Saccharomyces cerevisiae S288C: one gene and its partner. Changing the gene in region 1 together with any one later gene gives a genetic interaction. Each region holds a gene or a part of one and is shown in the gene's direction. Other genes may lie near its edges.

Evidence for each region.
Region 2: mutations in YPR148C (region 1) and YML020W together harm fitness more than expected from each alone (negative genetic interaction), as found in Saccharomyces cerevisiae (one large-scale study listed by BioGRID).

The regions. Positions count from the first base shown.
Region 1 is NC_001148.4:826,333-839,832, reverse strand, and holds YPR148C (uncharacterized protein), read left to right. Parts: upstream 1-11,692; coding exon 11,693-13,000; downstream 13,001-13,500. Other genes in the region: TPO3 (spermine transporter), read left to right, coding at 56-1,924; NCA2 (Nca2p), read left to right, coding at 2,420-4,270; PIN3 (Pin3p), read right to left, coding at 4,621-5,268; MAY24 (May24p), read right to left, coding at 5,588-6,005, 6,140-6,144; URN1 (Urn1p), read left to right, coding at 6,375-7,772; SUE1 (Sue1p), read left to right, coding at 8,158-8,778; NCE102 (Nce102p), read right to left, coding at 9,394-9,915; YPR147C (bifunctional triacylglycerol lipase/ester hydrolase), read left to right, coding at 13,274-13,500.
Region 2 is NC_001145.3:228,882-233,643, forward strand, and holds YML020W (uncharacterized protein), read left to right. Parts: upstream 1-2,267; coding exon 2,268-4,262; downstream 4,263-4,762. Other genes in the region: adenine phosphoribosyltransferase APT1, read left to right, coding at 56-619; UNG1 (uracil-DNA glycosylase), read right to left, coding at 853-1,932; OST6 (dolichyl-diphosphooligosaccharide--protein glycotransferase), read left to right, coding at 4,576-4,762.

The DNA.
Region 1 (13,500 bases):
TTACTTCATTATTTTAATTTTGCATTAGTACTCCTCTAGCCAAAGATAAACAGAAATGAACAGACAGGAATCCATAAATTCGTTTAATTCAGACGAAACATCTTCGTTGTCTGATGTAGAAAGTCAGCAGCCGCAACAATATATCCCTTCAGAGAGTGGATCTAAATCCAACATGGCTCCTAATCAACTGAAGTTGACCCGGACGGAAACCGTGAAGTCATTGCAGGACATGGGTGTGAGCTCCAAAGCCCCCGTTCCTGATGTTAATGCTCCTCAATCTAGCAAGAATAAGATTTTTCCTGAAGAATATACTTTAGAAACCCCTACAGGTTTAGTTCCTGTCGCCACTCTACATTCCATAGGTAGAACTTCTACTGCGATTTCCCGTACGAGAACTAGACAGATCGATGGCGCTTCTTCGCCTTCTTCTAATGAAGATGCTTTAGAAAGTGATAATAACGAAAAGGGTAAAGAAGGCGACTCTAGTGGTGCGAATGACGAAGCTCCAGATCTAGATCCGGAAATTGAATTCGTTACCTTTGTGACTGGCGATCCAGAAAACCCCCATAACTGGCCTGCATGGATCCGTTGGAGTTACACTGTCCTACTGTCAATCTTAGTTATTTGTGTCGCCTACGGGTCTGCTTGTATCAGTGGTGGGTTGGGAACCGTTGAAAAGAAATACCATGTAGGTATGGAAGCCGCTATTTTATCGGTTTCTTTAATGGTTATTGGGTTCTCGCTGGGTCCTTTGATTTGGTCTCCTGTTAGTGATCTTTACGGTAGAAGAGTTGCTTACTTTGTTTCTATGGGTCTTTATGTCATCTTCAATATCCCTTGCGCCTTAGCTCCAAATCTAGGTAGTCTTTTAGCTTGTAGATTTTTATGTGGTGTTTGGTCATCATCTGGTTTGTGTTTAGTTGGTGGGTCTATTGCCGATATGTTCCCAAGTGAAACAAGAGGTAAGGCTATTGCTTTCTTCGCTTTTGCTCCTTACGTTGGTCCCGTTGTTGGTCCACTAGTTAACGGTTTTATTTCCGTTTCTACCGGACGTATGGACCTGATTTTCTGGGTCAATATGGCCTTTGCAGGTGTTATGTGGATCATATCTTCTGCCATCCCAGAAACGTACGCTCCAGTTATCTTGAAGAGAAAGGCTGCTAGATTAAGAAAGGAAACTGGTAATCCCAAGATTATGACTGAGCAGGAAGCGCAAGGTGTCAGTATGGGTGAAATGATGAGGGCTTGTCTGTTGAGACCTTTGTACTTCTCTGTCACTGAACCTGTTCTAGTTGCTACTTGTTTCTACGTGTGTTTGATTTACTCTCTACTATATGCGTTCTTCTTTGCCTTCCCTGTCATTTTCGGTGAACTATATGGCTACAAAGACAACCTTGTGGGTTTGATGTTTATTCCTATTGTTATCGGTGCTCTTTGGGCGTTAGCCACAACTTTCTACTGTGAAAACAAGTATTTACAAATTGTCAAACAGCGTAAACCTACTCCTGAAGATCGTTTGCTAGGTGCTAAGATCGGTGCTCCATTTGCTGCAATTGCTTTATGGATCCTGGGTGCTACCGCTTATAAACATATTATTTGGGTTGGTCCAGCTTCAGCTGGTTTAGCTTTTGGTTTCGGTATGGTGTTGATTTATTATTCATTGAATAATTACATTATTGATTGCTACGTCCAATACGCATCCAGTGCTCTGGCTACAAAGGTTTTCTTAAGATCCGCCGGTGGTGCTGCCTTCCCCTTGTTTACCATTCAAATGTACCACAAATTGAATCTGCACTGGGGTTCTTGGTTGTTGGCTTTCATCTCCACTGCTATGATTGCTTTACCTTTTGCATTTTCTTACTGGGGCAAAGGTTTGAGACATAAGTTATCCAAGAAGGATTATTCCATAGATAGTATTGAATAAGAGTAACGATTTTACGAATCGAGCATAATAATGAAAAATTATAGTAGTAGTAATGATAAAAACATAAGCAAACATAAGCAAACATAAGCAAACATATCAAACATGCATTCAAACCATTATCCGACAGTAATGTACATATATTTTTACGTATTTTACATTCTTTCTCTATTGTTCTTTTATCTATTGCTATCCTAAACAAATATATTGATTGACCTTCAAACCGTGAGTAACTTTATTAATTTATATGTATAGAAAAAAAAAAAAATTGAATTAGAAATTTGAACTTCTCAAGTTCATTCTTCTTGTACCTATGCGATGACTTTATTTTCGGTTTTTACATTCCTCCTCATTTGACCGAGGAATACGAATTTGATTGACCCCCACTCACTAAACAAAGGGTCGGAATTCTTTTCCACTTTAAAACTTAGTAATAACAACAAAGTCAACAAAATAGTCCTATTGCAAAATTGCAGGTTCCTTAATTAATATTCTTAAATGATCATCAATAGGCGTATTTTGAAATCTTTTGAAGAGATAAGTCATTCATTAGAGGAATCACTACGAGAGGTTGCATTTGATTCACAGCAACAATTGATTCAAGACGTACGTGAGGAAAATGAAGAACTAAGTAGGTTACAAGATCAATTACAATTGATCAGGTCAATTGTTGAAAAAATCTGCATTTCAATCAAAACTGACAATATTGACTCTTATTGTTCGGTGCCTTTTGATTTGCTATACAATATTTGCAAGGACATTGCTGATCCCTCATCCTTTGAAGACGGAGATTTGCAATATCTTGTTAGCCAAGCCATATTTGAGTACATTATATTATTGTGCTACTATTCTGTGACCAACGAATGCGTCCAAGGTTTACCTGCCGTGTATGAAGCTGAACAGTACTACAAAACAGTAAGTGATTCAATCCTAAAGTCTTTTCTTTACTGTTTACAAAATTCAGTATCGACAATACGTCTTTTATCTCAAACTGTTTTGAAGGATGTAAATAAGAAAAAACTGTCGCATCAAAAATGGTCCCTAAAGGCCTTGTCAGTTGATTTACTAGAAAAAATACGCCCAAGAATAAACAAATTTATGGTGATTCGGAACTTCAGGTTTGTCGGGCTACCGAAGAAACCAATTGAAATAGCTTCATTGGTTTCTGATATACCTCGCGGTATAGTGCACGAAAGACTTGATATGGTCACTCAATCATCAAAGTATTATACTATTAAACTGGGGCAGTTGATCACTGAATTCGATCAACAACCAGAAGAAAATGGTATGTTCACCGAAGTACATTTACCGAACTACGAAAGACGTCTAAAATCTTTACAGGACTTCTTTGGATTAGCCATGTCTGATTCGAATTTACTAGATGTGATCCGATGCTCAGCGAAATTTCATAAAGATCATCCTTTAAGAAGGTTCACTAAACCAAGTATATTGACTAGATACTGGCCTTCAATTTTGTTGTGTCTTTTATATGGACCATCTTCTGTTATGTCGTTGTGGAATTCCCGGTATTTTATTCAAGATTTCATTAAGACCAATGTCGTTGACTTTGCGAAAGGGCTGATCTTGAACTGGTTATGGGCACCCCTGAAACAGGTTTGGTCTACTGTTAAGCATGACGAGGGAAGCGCCATTTCAGTGACATCACAGGAGACATTAAACTCTGACATGGATTCTCTTACCAGAATGATTGTTAGTTTTGTTGTGGATAATAGTGATTCGACGTCTAACAGCCCCATAGACCCTATTCTATTGAGTACTAAAGTCGAACATGGTGATTTGACCGAATTTATGGAAATATATGAAACACAACTACATCATCCGATAAAGAATATAGCTACGGGTGGATTAGTCAGGTCTTTATTGATTCAACTGCAAAAAACAAAAGTCGATGGATCTATGGCATTGAATGGCATTGATAAAATGCTGAAATCGCAACAGTTGGTGTTTGGAGTTGTAGCATTATCTCCGGCTTTAGTGATACTATATTCTTCTATAGTGGCGTTAAAAAGATTTGTCAAACTAGGCAATGTCTGGTCTAATGAAAAACGGTATAGGGAGCAAATAAGTATAAGTTTGAATAATGTGGAAAGAGTTTTGAATTATTCTAAACAAGGTGCGGACGCCGATGAGGAACACTTAAACCAGGGTCTACTAGTGATTGAGGTTTCTAACTTATACAAATTGGGAAGTTTTTTGATCCCGCGTTCAAGAAAGAAAGAATGGTTTAGGGACGTTGAGGAACTGGTGGATACCAATCTTGACTCCGGAGCTCATATAAATGTCGTCAACAGGATATACCACGTATATGGCAGGTTTTTAATCCATTAGCGTATAGCCTGCTGGGGAAGAAGAAAGGGAAGATATTGAATATATTCTTAATGTATTTTTTGTACAGACGTAAATATAAAGAAATCAACGCAAAATCGACGCCTTTTTACTTTTTATACTTTTTTACTAAAAAGACAGATTTTCTCGCTCATATCATAAGTGATGTACTATTATCCTCCATATACGATATATCTGTTTAAAAAAAAAGAAAAAAAAAGGTTACTTAAATTCATACTCATTAGAAAAAAATTCTAGGGATAACAACACCAAAGGTAGAACTTCGTTCAATTTATGAAAGGTTTGGCCATAATGGAGAACAAATGAATGAAGTATATAAAGAGAAAAACGACTTAAAAGATATTATTAACAATATCTGACCCAATACTAGCGCCTGCCCCAAAAATGGCGGCATTACCCAATTTGCTACCAAAGCTCTTCAAGTGGCTATGTGAGCTCTGATGTTGTTGTTGTTGTTGTTGTTGTTGGGGAGGAGGAGCTTGTTGCGGCTGTTGTTGAGGCTGCTGATAATAATTTGTGGAAGGTGGAGGAAATGGCTGCTGTTGATAAGATGATGCGGCACTATTTTGCGTGGGGATTTGTTGTAATTCTTGAGCTTTATACTGTGGAGGTGGTGGAAGATTGGATGGACCGTTAGACCCAGAGAAAGCTGGCTTGACATAGTTTGCTGGGAAAATACCGGTACGGCCATTACAGCTACCCTTGTACCACTCTGGAGATAATTTTTCTAAAAGTTGGACCTTGTCACCTGGTTTTAAGCCCAAATCACCATCTTGTTGAGGATCAAATTGATAAAGAGCTTCGACATATTCCAAGGAAGCTGGACTGGCGTTGCGGGGTGCATTGGCAGGATCCCATTTTGCCGGCAAGCTCTTATTTATTTGATCGTAAACGTCATTTGAAATGACATTTGACCCTTTTAGAAAATCCAGTTCTGTCCTAATGTTTGTTAAGGAACGATTAATCAATGAAGCAGACATTTTTGAAATATCAGATTGCCTTCTTTCCTAATGTTCTTGTGTTTGCGCCAATGTGGGCACTTTGCCTATTGTCTCAACCGATTTGAGGTTCGACTATATATGCAGCTTACAATATCCATCCCCGCCTCGAAGGAGGCTCGGTTAATCACGCTGCACGAACGAAAACAATAGTTAAAGAAACGTTTAGAACAATCTAGCGCTTTGAAGAAAGAGTATTAGGCTCTTTACGTGAAGGATGGCACATTCTCATTCAAAAGTTGCTGCTAACTTTTATCATCAAATCAGTAAACCCCTTCTTGTTTTTTCTTGACAGAAGCTTTCACATAACGGAACCAACCATGGAATAACTTAGCACCACATCGAAAAGGATTTGGACTACTGCGCAACAAAGTGGGACCCATGTAGACATAGAAAATAAACCAGATCTATAGATCGCACCTATTAAAAACCCCATAACTGTACCAGTCGTCAAGCCTTGAACGCCTCCGTATAAGACGTACATGACGAATATCCATACACTTCCAGCCTTCTTTCTATGGGTCAAGCTAGCATACACACCAGCAGTAACGTAAAATGCACCATTAAAGATCAAAGTCCAGTACAGCGAAAATTTCCAAATGTCAGATATATAGTATAAGAATGCAGTATTATACTTCGAGTTGTTGATGGGCCAGTATAATGAGGGGAATTTTGGCGTTACATATCCAACAGGTATATCGTTATTTGTTACGAATGATCTGAGCACAGGGAACATGCGACAGAGTAGTGGATGTTTTTATTGTTAGTTTTGTGCCTATTATTTTCTTAAGCCACAGGGAGCGATGCCTGCATCCAGCCGTGGCGGATATAGTCTTGGTAATGAATAACATACCTCATAATACGGCAGGAAGTTGGAACTGATCTTGTTGGCAGTTTTTATCTTATACAGAAGCGTCAAGAGTAGGAAAAGGTTTTATTATTGCATATTTATCAACTTTCAGTATGTTTCTTTTTTTCTTCGGCAATGAAAGAGAAAACAATATAATTGAAGAAAGAGGAAATAGTGTCCGAAAGAGATTCTGATATGTATTATAAAGAGAAAGACAGTTCAGTAACACAGAATCGCCATGCGTGGAGAATGGCAGGAATTTAAGACACCTGCAGGCAAAAAGTATTACTATAATAAGAACACGAAGCAGTCTCGATGGGAAAAACCTAATTTGAAGAAAGGCTCTAACCTAGAAAGCAATGCGAAAGAATCACAGACAGAGAGGAAGCCAACATTTTCATTAGAACTGGTTAATGGTTGGCACTTAATAATATACAACGATGGTACAAAACTTTACTTTAATGATGACTCTAAGGAGTTCAAAAATGACATCAGTCAAGAGGACGACAGCAGGTGTCGCTCATTAATCGAGTCGTTAGATAAGGAAAAACTGGTTCTTCTGATTGGCGTTGCCAGAGGTTACACTATGCGGGAGGAGGACATTGATAAAATCCTCGAATCTTGCAACGAAGAGATTCATCTATTTAAAAGAAATCAAGACGAAGTTGAGAGAAAAGATGAGATCAGCGAAGAGGCGGGTGACGTAAAATCCCCTTTACAGGAAAGCCACACTGGGCTAGTCAGCGGGTATGGTTCATCTTCGGGGGAGGAAGACGAAGAGGAAGACGAAGAGGAAGACGAAGAGAATGAAGAACAAATTGTAAATCAAGATATCAGCATTATCGATGATCTGAATCGTATTGATACAGATGACATTGACGAGCGTAATATCTTCTTCGAATTATTCGATAGGTATAAACTAGACAAGTTTTCCACGTGGTCGCTGCAAAGCAAGAAAATCGAAAACGATCCTGATTTTTACAAGATCAGAGATGACACAGTTCGTGAAAGTCTTTTCGAAGAATGGTGCGGCGAGCGCAGTGGCAATGCCACCGCTGAAGAAAGCGATAGCGAAGATAATAGCGAAGACGATAGCGAAGTACTAGAACCAACAAAATACCATTATCTGGCACAAATTGTTGCTAATGCGGGAACAATCGCACCCGACACCATCCCACAAGATATAAGGAAACAACAAAAAGCGTTATACAAGGCCTACAAAATCAAGGAGTATATACCGTCGAAGCGCGACCAAGACAAATTCGTTTCCCAACTGCTGTTTTATTATAAGACGTTCGACTTGGAACAGCGGAAAGAGATTTTCTGCGATTGCCTACGGGATCACGAACGAGACTTTACGGGGGCAGTCGAATCGCTGCGTCAGGACAAAGAGCTTATCGACCGATGGCAAACACTTCTGAAAGCACCCGCGGACAGTAGTAGTATAGAGGATATATTGCTGAGCATTGAGCACAGGTGTTGTGTCAGCCCAATAGTGGTGACGGAACCACGCTACTACGTCGTGGGCATTCTGGAGAAGACCGTGGTCTGGGTGCGGTGGCTAGCCGCCGAGGTCGGGCCATCAAGCCGGTTTACCCCAGTGGGCGCGGGGAACGAGCCGATAAATCCGGAATAGGAAGGGCAGACCAGGGGAGCAAAGAGTGATTAAGCTTACGCACCTGGTATGGACGTGATGGAAGTGGGGTGGTGATAGCAACCAGAATACGGTAGGGTCTTTACGCTTAGTGTACCTATCGGTATTCAGGCTCTTTGCCAGTGATTGGGGCTGCGGGATCCGCCATCATATCTAGTCACTTTTGTATAAGAATGAATGATAAGAGCAGGTGCAATTTTCGGACTTTAGATGTTTCTTGTGTTTCATTATTTATAGCACATTTATTTTTTCCCTCTGAGTGTGTGTCTGCATGTATACATTTTAGTTGAATTATAGAGAGTAACGAAACACACACGCATACACGTATATACAAAGACATATATACGTACGGAAATAGTGAATAAGGATGATTTTATTAAAGAGGACAAAAATTAGGGGCGTCAGCGTCTCTTTTGTAAGCTTGCAAAGAAGGACTCACAGCAGACTGGTGAACCCCATAAGGCAGCAACATCAACAAATTACCAAGCAAAGGAGTTCAAAGATTTTAAAGAATGCGCATTTCTATGACTTTAGATCGCTGCCCAAAGTACCTACTACACAGTATTTGGAAGCTAGGGAGCTCACCCGCGATATTCTGTATAGCGGATACAGGCCAGTAATGTACCCAGTGAAGGAAAACCCGCTATTCAGAGATAAGAAGAGAAAGTCCTTGCAAACGTTATTAACAATGAACGAGAAAACAAACGCAGAGGCGAAGACGATCGATGAGAAAAAGCACAAGAACATATTGTTTGGTGAACGTGGCACTGGTGGTATAATGTCAGGTGGCGTGAACGGTACATGGAAGTACAATCCCACCGTACCCAATGAGCTGTTGCCATTCAATTGGTGGTCTACGTCCAGTATGGGTATGGAATATTTTCCTGAATGGAAAAACGTGCCCCCATATATGATGAGAAAGTTGAAGCCGTTTGACAAGGCACTGCAAATGCGGTTGACACACAAAAGCAAAAAAAAGATGAAATAAATAATAAATATTTGGCATATACATATGGAAAATGATTTTATAGCACGATTCCTCATACATAATAATAATAATAATAATAGGAAACAAAACTATTAATTTTTGTAACCGATTTGAACTCACATTAGGGATCCACGTCACGCCGTGCGCGGAACGGTAGGATGAAAAAGGATAAACAGAACTTACATACAAAAAACTCAAATCAACGCAACAGGTATGTAGTGAAGTAAAACTAGACAAAGAGAAGGATACTTTAGTTAGATATAAGAATAGTATGAAAAGATTAAAAATTAAAATATTAGAAGAACAAATTATAATAAAAGAAAGCGGGGTGAATGATAATAATAATAATAATAATAATAATATTAGTTAGAAATAAGACTTCTTCATAATCGTTAATGAAGAAGTGCATATGATTTGTTATTTTTTTTCTGGTATTTTTTTCATTTTTTTCGGGTTTTCCTTGGGTATAATTTTTTGTTTCTTCCGAAAGACGGAAAGGGATGAGGGAAAACGGAGTTTTCTTATTTGCTTTCTTTTTTCCCTAATTTATTCACGGTGTCCATTTATTATATTCTTAATTGAAAGTGGCGTAAAATTTAAGTTGGTGCGCTTCAATTAGACTTGGGAAATGGTTGGAACACCGACTTGGCCAGTTCTTCTTCTCTTGGAGAAAGAACCAGAACCAAAGGCACCATTGGAGATCATGTTGAAAACAGACATCAGGGTCTTAGCCAAAAAGATGGCACAAGAGAAGTAGAGGAATGCAACAGCGGCTTGAGCTTGTCTACATCTGGTACCGGAACCTTGAGTAATCTTGTTACTGTCAACGTATGAGCTGTTGTTACATGAGTGAGCTCTGATACCAACGGCCAACACTGTACCGGCAGTGAAAGTGAACACAAAGTTCAAAAAGTCCAGTGTGAACAAAACTAGTGGCCATGCCAATGGTTCAATGAAGTTGGCAAAGACACCGTACAATGAATCGGTGAATATACCATATGCACAAGCAAACATACAGTAGTTTACTCTGGAGCTGTGCCTATGTTGGGTGTTTAACAACGAACTGATTAAACCGATGGAAATAACCAAAAATAGGAAATTTATTATACGTAGAATGTTATCAGCTAGGGCTAGCATTATGGGATTATATTGTTATTAGGTATGCTTTGAGAAGAAAAGTTTTTTTAACCGATTTTTCTTATTGAAGATGTTTTTTAAAGAAATGTTTATTTATCCTTTTAAAAAAGCGCGATGAGCAGAAAAATTAAAAATGTAAAACCTTTTCAATTGTATTTTTTCTTGATCAATTGCGAACAAAATAGTGGTATAAGTTAAATTTTCTTAAAAAAAAAAAAGGAGACGTAGAAGAAGAAAGAAAAAAGTATCTTTTAATTACAAAACAAAGACTCTTTTATAAAGGAAAATCTGACAGAAGATTGGGGCCAAGGAATTTATAGGGGTATGATTTTTCTGTATACATATATGAGGAAGAGGGGAGGGAAATGGAAGAAGAAGTAGGAAGAAAAAAAAATCAAACCAATTCTAGTCAATTCCGTTAAGGCAGCAAGCTGCCCATAAGTTTCTGTGAGGGGGCGATCACTTTTATGTTTTGGGCATTTTAATTATGACGCAGAGGTCCGCGGACAAGGGGTTTGCGATGGACCTTTTAAAGCAACCTTGGGCCTACCTCAGGGAAATGCCCCTACCAACGTCACTAACGGGCGTGTGCCAAATGGGCCGATGCTCAGATGCGGCCGTTAAAATGGGGGTGGTGTTTCGGGGCCCCGTCCGTATGTGGAAATACCAAAACAGTAGGGACATGCATCCTTACATCATCCGGTCAATCATCAGGGTAATACATATTTTATACTTAATCCGAGATTCGGACCCCTAGTGACAGAATTAACCGCATAGAACCTCTCAAGCCCGTTTACAAACAAAAGCCGCATTGCATTCTCCTTCATGGGATGGTTTATCGAAATAGTTGGAATTCATTCAACAAGGATGTGATGCAACTACACAACAGTATGCTGAATGAAGGCCTATGGAAATAGCCGGGAGGAGGCAACAGTTCCTTTGTATCGGCAATCGGGCTCCGCGAGAAAGCCGCGTATTCCTCCTGGCTGCTTCCTTTCTCACCGCTGCCGAAAAGCTTAATTATCTGTATAGTTTGTTCCGATGAGCGAAACGGCGTTAACATCAAGGGTTAAGGTAGGGAAAGTGGGAATGACGAGAATTTTTTGCTACGCTTTTTTAGCAATTTAGTTTTGGAAATATTGTGGCTGCTCTTAATTGTCCGCCTAAGGAAAAGACATGAGCAACTATGCAACATAGGACAAAAGAAAGAAGAAAAAAGGAGATCTCCGGAGAGGCAGGCGGCTTTGCCGTTGATTGTAATCTCTTTGTTCAGGAAATTGATATAGTTAATTGTATATGGGATTAGCAGTTCTATTTCATGGATTGCAAATCAAACGTGTGGCTCCTCGAGCGGTAGAGACATCTTTCCCGCTGATGTGTGCAACTTCATATATGTTCATATATGAAATTACGTTTGATTGGGCAAACATATTCCTGCTTTAATAAATATACTCAATTGTTGCAGTTCGTGAAAATTGTAACACCACCTTGAAGTGCATTTCACGAGTGTGTAACTGGGCATTTTATGAAACTTCTTGAGTACTACTTGTGTAAAGAAAGCGAGGTTAGCAGTTTAGTTAGTTGGCTCTGCATCGCTTTTAACGAGGATTACTTCTCACTCTTAAATCGCTAGTTGGCTTTTTTTAGCACTCGACACGCATATCCCAGTTTTGGTTTTCATTTCTCTTGAAATAATAATGATCAGGGAAAAAAAGGTTGCAATACTTATACATCTGAACAGCAAAGTTAGGTAAAACCATAAAATTCTGGTTAGAAAATGTCTGGTTATTTTTCAGGGTTTTCTCTAAACAAGATCACCGATTCAATTGCCACCGCTGCTCACAAGACCCAAGACACTTTGAACAATGCATTAGCAAATGCAAATGTAAACTTAAATGACCCTCAAACAAGACTATCAATCAAATCGCGAACTAGATTTGTTCAGGAATCATTGGGTACTGTATCAGATATAAGTAAATTACCACCACAGTACCAATTCTTGGAGAAAAAAAGTGATTCCTTAGAGAAGGTATGTAAAAGGATTCTACTGGTGTCCAAAACGTTCGAAGTAGAGGGCTACGACTATCCACCAAATTTAACGGAGAGTATTTCGGATTGGTGGTCTCTCAATAAAGATGGCTGGTTTGGCTCTAAAAAATCCGAAAGTTCCACTAAAAAAAAGGGATCTAACCATGACGATGCTTTTTTGCCAAGGTCTTTTGCTCAAGCCATCTCAAAAGCCGCTGTTGACTGCGAATGTGAATTTCAAAATTTAGAACACAACGAAAAGGCAGAACTAAAGAAGAAAAAGGAGTCTATCAAAACTGCACAGACAACGGAAGCTCAGGGTGCCGACCATAATGAAGAAGACGAGGAAGATGAAGAAGATGAAGAAGATGATGAAGATTTGTCTAATTTGATCAAAGTTTTCGATTCGTGGTCGACATGCTATAAAAATATCGATGAAGGGAAGGCAGAGATGGATTCTATGATGGTCAAGGAATTCAACAAAAAATTAGAAACATTAATAAACCAAGACTTCAAGAAGGTCCATGACCTGCGCAAAAAAGTGGAAGAATCAAGACTCAAATTTGATACAATGCGTTATGAAGTCAAAGCAAAAGAAGCAGAGTTAGAGGCGAAAAAAGCTGAAGCCACAGGAGAAGCACATAGCAAGGATGTTAGCGCAAAGGACATTAGCGCAAACACTACCACCTCTTTTGACGAAACGCCTTCTACCGAGGATGAAAAGCCAAAATCAGAGGGTGCCGAAGAGGAATCAAAGAAAGAAGCGAATGAGCCTACTGTTGATGACGTTGCTGATAGAAAAGAAGATTTAAAGAGTAACAAAGTAAATGATGAGCCACCGATTGAAGAATCTGAGGATAATAAATTACTGGAAAAACTGGAGGATGAATTTGTCTCCAATACTACAGCAGCAGTGGAAACAATGGAAGAAATCACTGACAGTTCTGAAATTCTGGGCTTGATAAAACTGTTCCAGAATTTCCAGTTGGTTTACTTTAGACAATGTGTCCAAGAAGTGGAGGCAAACCTTAAAGTTCTAAATGGTTTGGAAATTTAGCAAATCAGGCAACTAAAACATTACTCATTCATGTATAAAGTAATTTGATTGTTATTTTTAAACATTATATATGATGTAAGTTTCTTCTATTTAACCGCTTGAATTGCGTCGCTGTCCTTACAATTCCTTACCCGAAAAGTATCGCAACTGGAAAGCGCTCATTAAGAGGAAAGGAAAACAGCATTAAAACGGCAGCAAAGCCCAAAACTACTGGAGGGAAAATAGACAGTCCGCTTGCTACGCCATTGCCCGCCTGCTCAATTCTAGTGACAAATGACTGTAAAAGAGTATACTAAATCGAAGTTGCCATGCTCGATATTGAATATCAAACCTACAGTCACTAAAAGTGGCGAGGATGCGCCTCTTCTAGTATGGATCCCTGGTAATCCTGGGCTTTTATACTATTATCAAGAAATGCTACATCATCTACACTTGAAGCACCCAGATTGGGAAATTCTTGGCATATCCCATGCCGGAATGACATTGAACGCTCATTCTAA
Region 2 (4,762 bases), on another chromosome or scaffold:
TTTTCACGCATTTTGCCTGCTTCAAAGAAATCTATCGCAAATATTCCTACTAATCATGTCTATAGCAAGTTATGCCCAAGAGTTGAAGTTGGCTTTACATCAATATCCAAACTTCCCTAGTGAAGGCATTCTCTTCGAAGATTTCTTACCCATTTTCAGGAACCCAGGTCTTTTCCAGAAGTTGATCGATGCTTTCAAACTGCATTTAGAAGAAGCTTTTCCAGAAGTTAAAATTGATTATATCGTCGGGTTGGAATCCCGTGGGTTCTTGTTCGGACCAACTTTAGCTTTGGCCCTAGGTGTTGGTTTCGTTCCAGTCAGGAAGGCAGGTAAGCTACCTGGCGAATGTTTTAAGGCTACGTACGAAAAGGAGTACGGTTCTGATCTTTTTGAGATACAGAAAAACGCTATTCCAGCAGGTTCCAACGTTATCATTGTTGATGACATTATTGCCACTGGTGGTTCTGCTGCTGCAGCCGGCGAATTAGTTGAACAACTCGAAGCCAACCTTTTGGAATATAACTTTGTTATGGAGTTGGATTTCTTGAAAGGCAGGAGTAAGTTGAATGCTCCAGTGTTCACTTTACTGAACGCTCAAAAGGAAGCGTTGAAAAAATGATATGTTTCACGTCCTGACCCATATTCAAGCTTCCTTTCTGCCGGTTTCAAGCAATTTATTTTTCTTACTTCTCCTTACTCTCTCAATTTGGTTGTATAATATTTACTTTTTAGATTGAAAAATATTCAATCCACTTTTCTGCTTTGTGCCACAAAGTAGTCTATTTAGTTTTTTATCTATTATATGCTTTTAAAGAGTTTGGAAATCGAGACCTGCATATGCAATAGTAATATTCAAGGGTCCTTTGATTCTGACTCTAAGCGAGCATTTGCCTCCTGAACTTCTCTTAATGACGTTCCAGGAACAACACTCCAGTCTATCATTTTCTCTCCGCGGGTATTGTATAGCCAATCGTTTATCATTTTGAAATGGTTGGTACCAAAAAATCCTCTACTTGCACTTAATGGAGACGGATGCACTGACTTCATCACCATGATATTAGGGTACTTACTACCGCTTCCAACGGAAGTAGATCCCAACAGAGACTCTACTAATTTGATAGCATTGTTCCCCCATAAGAGGAATACTAAACTCTTACCGTCGGCCTCTCTGTCCTGGATCAACAACTGAACTACCCTTTTTGTAAAAGTTTCCCAACCATGCTTAGAATGCGAGTTTGCATTATGTGCTCTTACAGTTAACGAGGTATTAAGCAATAAAACCCCTTGTGAAGCCCAGTGAGTTAAATCTCCCACTTTATTATCTTCAACAAAATCAGGATACTCTTGCTTCAGTTCCTTATATATGTTCTTTAATGACGGTGGTGCTGGTGTAGGGGGTTTGACGCTAAAAGCCAAGCCATGCGCCTGATTAAAGTTGTGGTAGGGATCTTGACCGATAATCACGACTTTAACTTTATTAAAAGGCGTTAGCCTGGTCCATGAGTAAATATCCTTTGCAGGCGGAAATACTGTATGATCAGCTTGCTCTTTAGTGACAAACTGTTTCAACTTTACAAAATATGGCTTTTTAAATTCATCCATTAAATGTGGAAACCACGAATCATCAATCGTTTCTAGCTCCAGCGACAGTAGTGTACGTAAATTGCTGCTCAAGTTCTTCGAATATACATCTTTTGCATTTGAATTAGCAGGATATTTGTCCGTGTTTGCCTCCTTTGCGACCGCCTTTGTCTCTGTCTTGATAGCTGCGCCATTTGTTATGGTCATGAAAGTAGCGCCCGATTTACCTTTCTTATTGGGCGCCTCATTAGTGCTTTTCTTTGTACCAAAGAAGTCTTCGATCGTAGTTTGCTTTCTCTTTCGAGCCACCGTCATAACTGAATTTGTTGGCAATCTTCTCATGCACCACATGTATGTGAACGGCTTGTGTACAGCTTCTGATAATATATATCATTATGGATGAATTACGCGTTGCGGACACATTCCAGGTTTTGACAATAGGGAAAATATTGAGTTTATATGTAAAGCTTTTTACAAGTCACTAATGTGAACAACGTGAGGTAATTCCATGGAAAGTTCATATAAGAATAGTTCGAAAACTATCTTTTTTATTCCCACCAGTCACTAGATTCGGCTTTATACATATAGTGGGCTTATCACTGCTCTTGGATAGCACTTTTGCACTACAAATAGACACCATTACGAAGAATTGGAAGAGACTTATATACAGAGTACCAGTAGGTAGAATGGTCACGACTCCATTGCATTCCTCGCCGAAAAGCAGTCTGAAATCTTCAACGACCTCACTGCGCTCAGTACATACTCAGTCTGGTCGTATGGGGCCTAGTGAGCCTAAGCACAGAACAACCAAATCCTGGTCTATATGGGGAGGTAATGACGAGGAAGAACCGGAGTTATCTAATAAAAATAAAGGAAAGGAAACCGCCCAAGACAACAGTCAAGAAAATGACAATGTTTCAAATGAGGGAACACGCTTGCACGATAATCAACAAACAACGATTTTAAAGGAAACCACCAGGATCGAGAAGGGTGAGAAGGACAAAAAAGACAGAAATGCAGCTATAGTAGAAAAAAACACAAGACCACGAGCATGGCCATTCTTTTGGGGCCGTAACAAAAAAGATCCGGAGCCGACGCATAACATTCCCACTGATGCGGATAATAACACTTTATCACGTTTAGCAAATAGTCTAAATCCGGCTCCTCTAACCAACACTTACATACCTTATAAACCTGATGCTATATTGATCAGAGATAAAGGTGTCAAAACTGCTAAGAAATTAACAGATGACATAGGCAATCAGTTTCCTAACATTGTTGTACCAAGTTTCGATATTTTACCGAAACAAACCATATGGAATACAGTCACATCCACAATTTGGAAGTGGAAGACTGAATACTGGGATAGAAGACCTTCATCAAGGGTACGAGAGGGGGAAGAACAGGTGCAGCACTCACAAAATCAGTTAAAAGAGGAAACAAACACAGTTGCAAACGAGGCAAAAGATGAGGAGCGGTTGGAACACAACAGAGGATCTCTATTTAGGGTTGATCCATGGAAAAAAATAAACCTTCTATCAGATTACCAATCTAGGCCCATCAGAGTTCTCATTGTCGGCGTTCATGGGTTCTTTCCAACAAAAATTATTAGACCGTTTATTGGTGAGCCAACGGGTACATCTACCAAGTTTGTCACAGAAGCTGAGGAAATAGTGAAGGAATATTTTGATCAACATAAAGTACCCATTGAAATAAGCAAGATCGCTCTTGAAAGAGAAGGAGAGATATTTGATAGAGTAGATTTCTTCTACGAAGTTATGAAGCATTGGAGCAAAGAAATAAACAATTCTGATTTTATTTATTTTGTTAGCCATTCGCAGGGGTGTCCGGTAACCATTATGCTTTTAGCGAAGCTGATCAAAAACGGCATAATAAACCTTGATAATTCTCAATTTTTCAACGATGAAATTCAGTTTTGTTCGTCCAAAAAAATTATCTCGGTCTTGGCCATGGCAGGTATCAATAATGGTCCATTCTACGGTGCAGATCAAACTTTGTTTGTTCGTGCTTACCAGACGATTGAAAAAGACTCATTGAGGGAGTTATTCGAGTTTCAAAAGTTTGATTCCAAACAATCGCAAAGCTTCATAGAAGGCCTAAGAACAATCATATCAAATAACGTTAAGATTACATTTGTGGGATCCATCAATGATCAACTGGTCCCTCTGTATTCATCCACATGTCTTTTTGCCAACCATCCCAATATATTTCGGGCCATTTTTATTGATAGAGGATCACAAACTCCAGCATTTATCACTCGCATAGTTAAAATTGCTGGTTCACTCTTAAACCTGGGTTATAACGATCACGGAATCATAAAGGAAATAAGCGGATCTCTGGCGGGCACCCTGACAGGAGGTGGTCACTCTACCATTTATAATGAGAAACAGGTCTACCATCTGGGCATCAAATTTGCATTAGAAACAACCGATTTGTCCGAAATGTATCCAATTGAGTACTCACCATATAAATTGTCTGAGTTAGGAGCCAACCCCTATCGTCTGCCATGGTGTATGAGGGGATTGATGTACGAGTCCAACAAGCATTTCAGTAATGAAGAAATCAAGATGTTGTTTAAGGAATTTGAGGAATGGGAGCCTGAGACAAAGCAATTGAAGGACATAAAAAACAGGCTTAATGGTTTGAAATATCGACTCTGATAAAAAATACATCCAGCATGATACCAGCTTGCTTCCGCAAACGAAACATAACTTAAGGTACCGCAATTCAAAAAGGCATTCATACGTACAAATATTAACTATATCTGACATTATTTAGACTATCACAAGCAGTATTTATTTATTTATTTACTTATTTATTCATTTATTCATTTCCTTTTTAGTCTTTTATGCCAGTGAGCTACTGTCGCGAATTGAAAACTGCAAAAAAATAAAATAGGAACTTGGATTCAGAAGTTTTGATAATAAAATTGCATGTAGATGAGAGCCGCGAACTGAATCATACAAAAAAAATATGAAGTGGTGTAGCACATACATTATTATATGGCTCGCCATTATATTCCATAAGTTTCAGAAGTCCACAGCCACTGCATCCCATAATATAGATGATATTCTACAGTTGAAAGATGACACCGGTGTGATAACAGTGACCGCTGACAACTACCCACTGTTAAGCCGTGGTGTCCCAGGTTACTTCAATA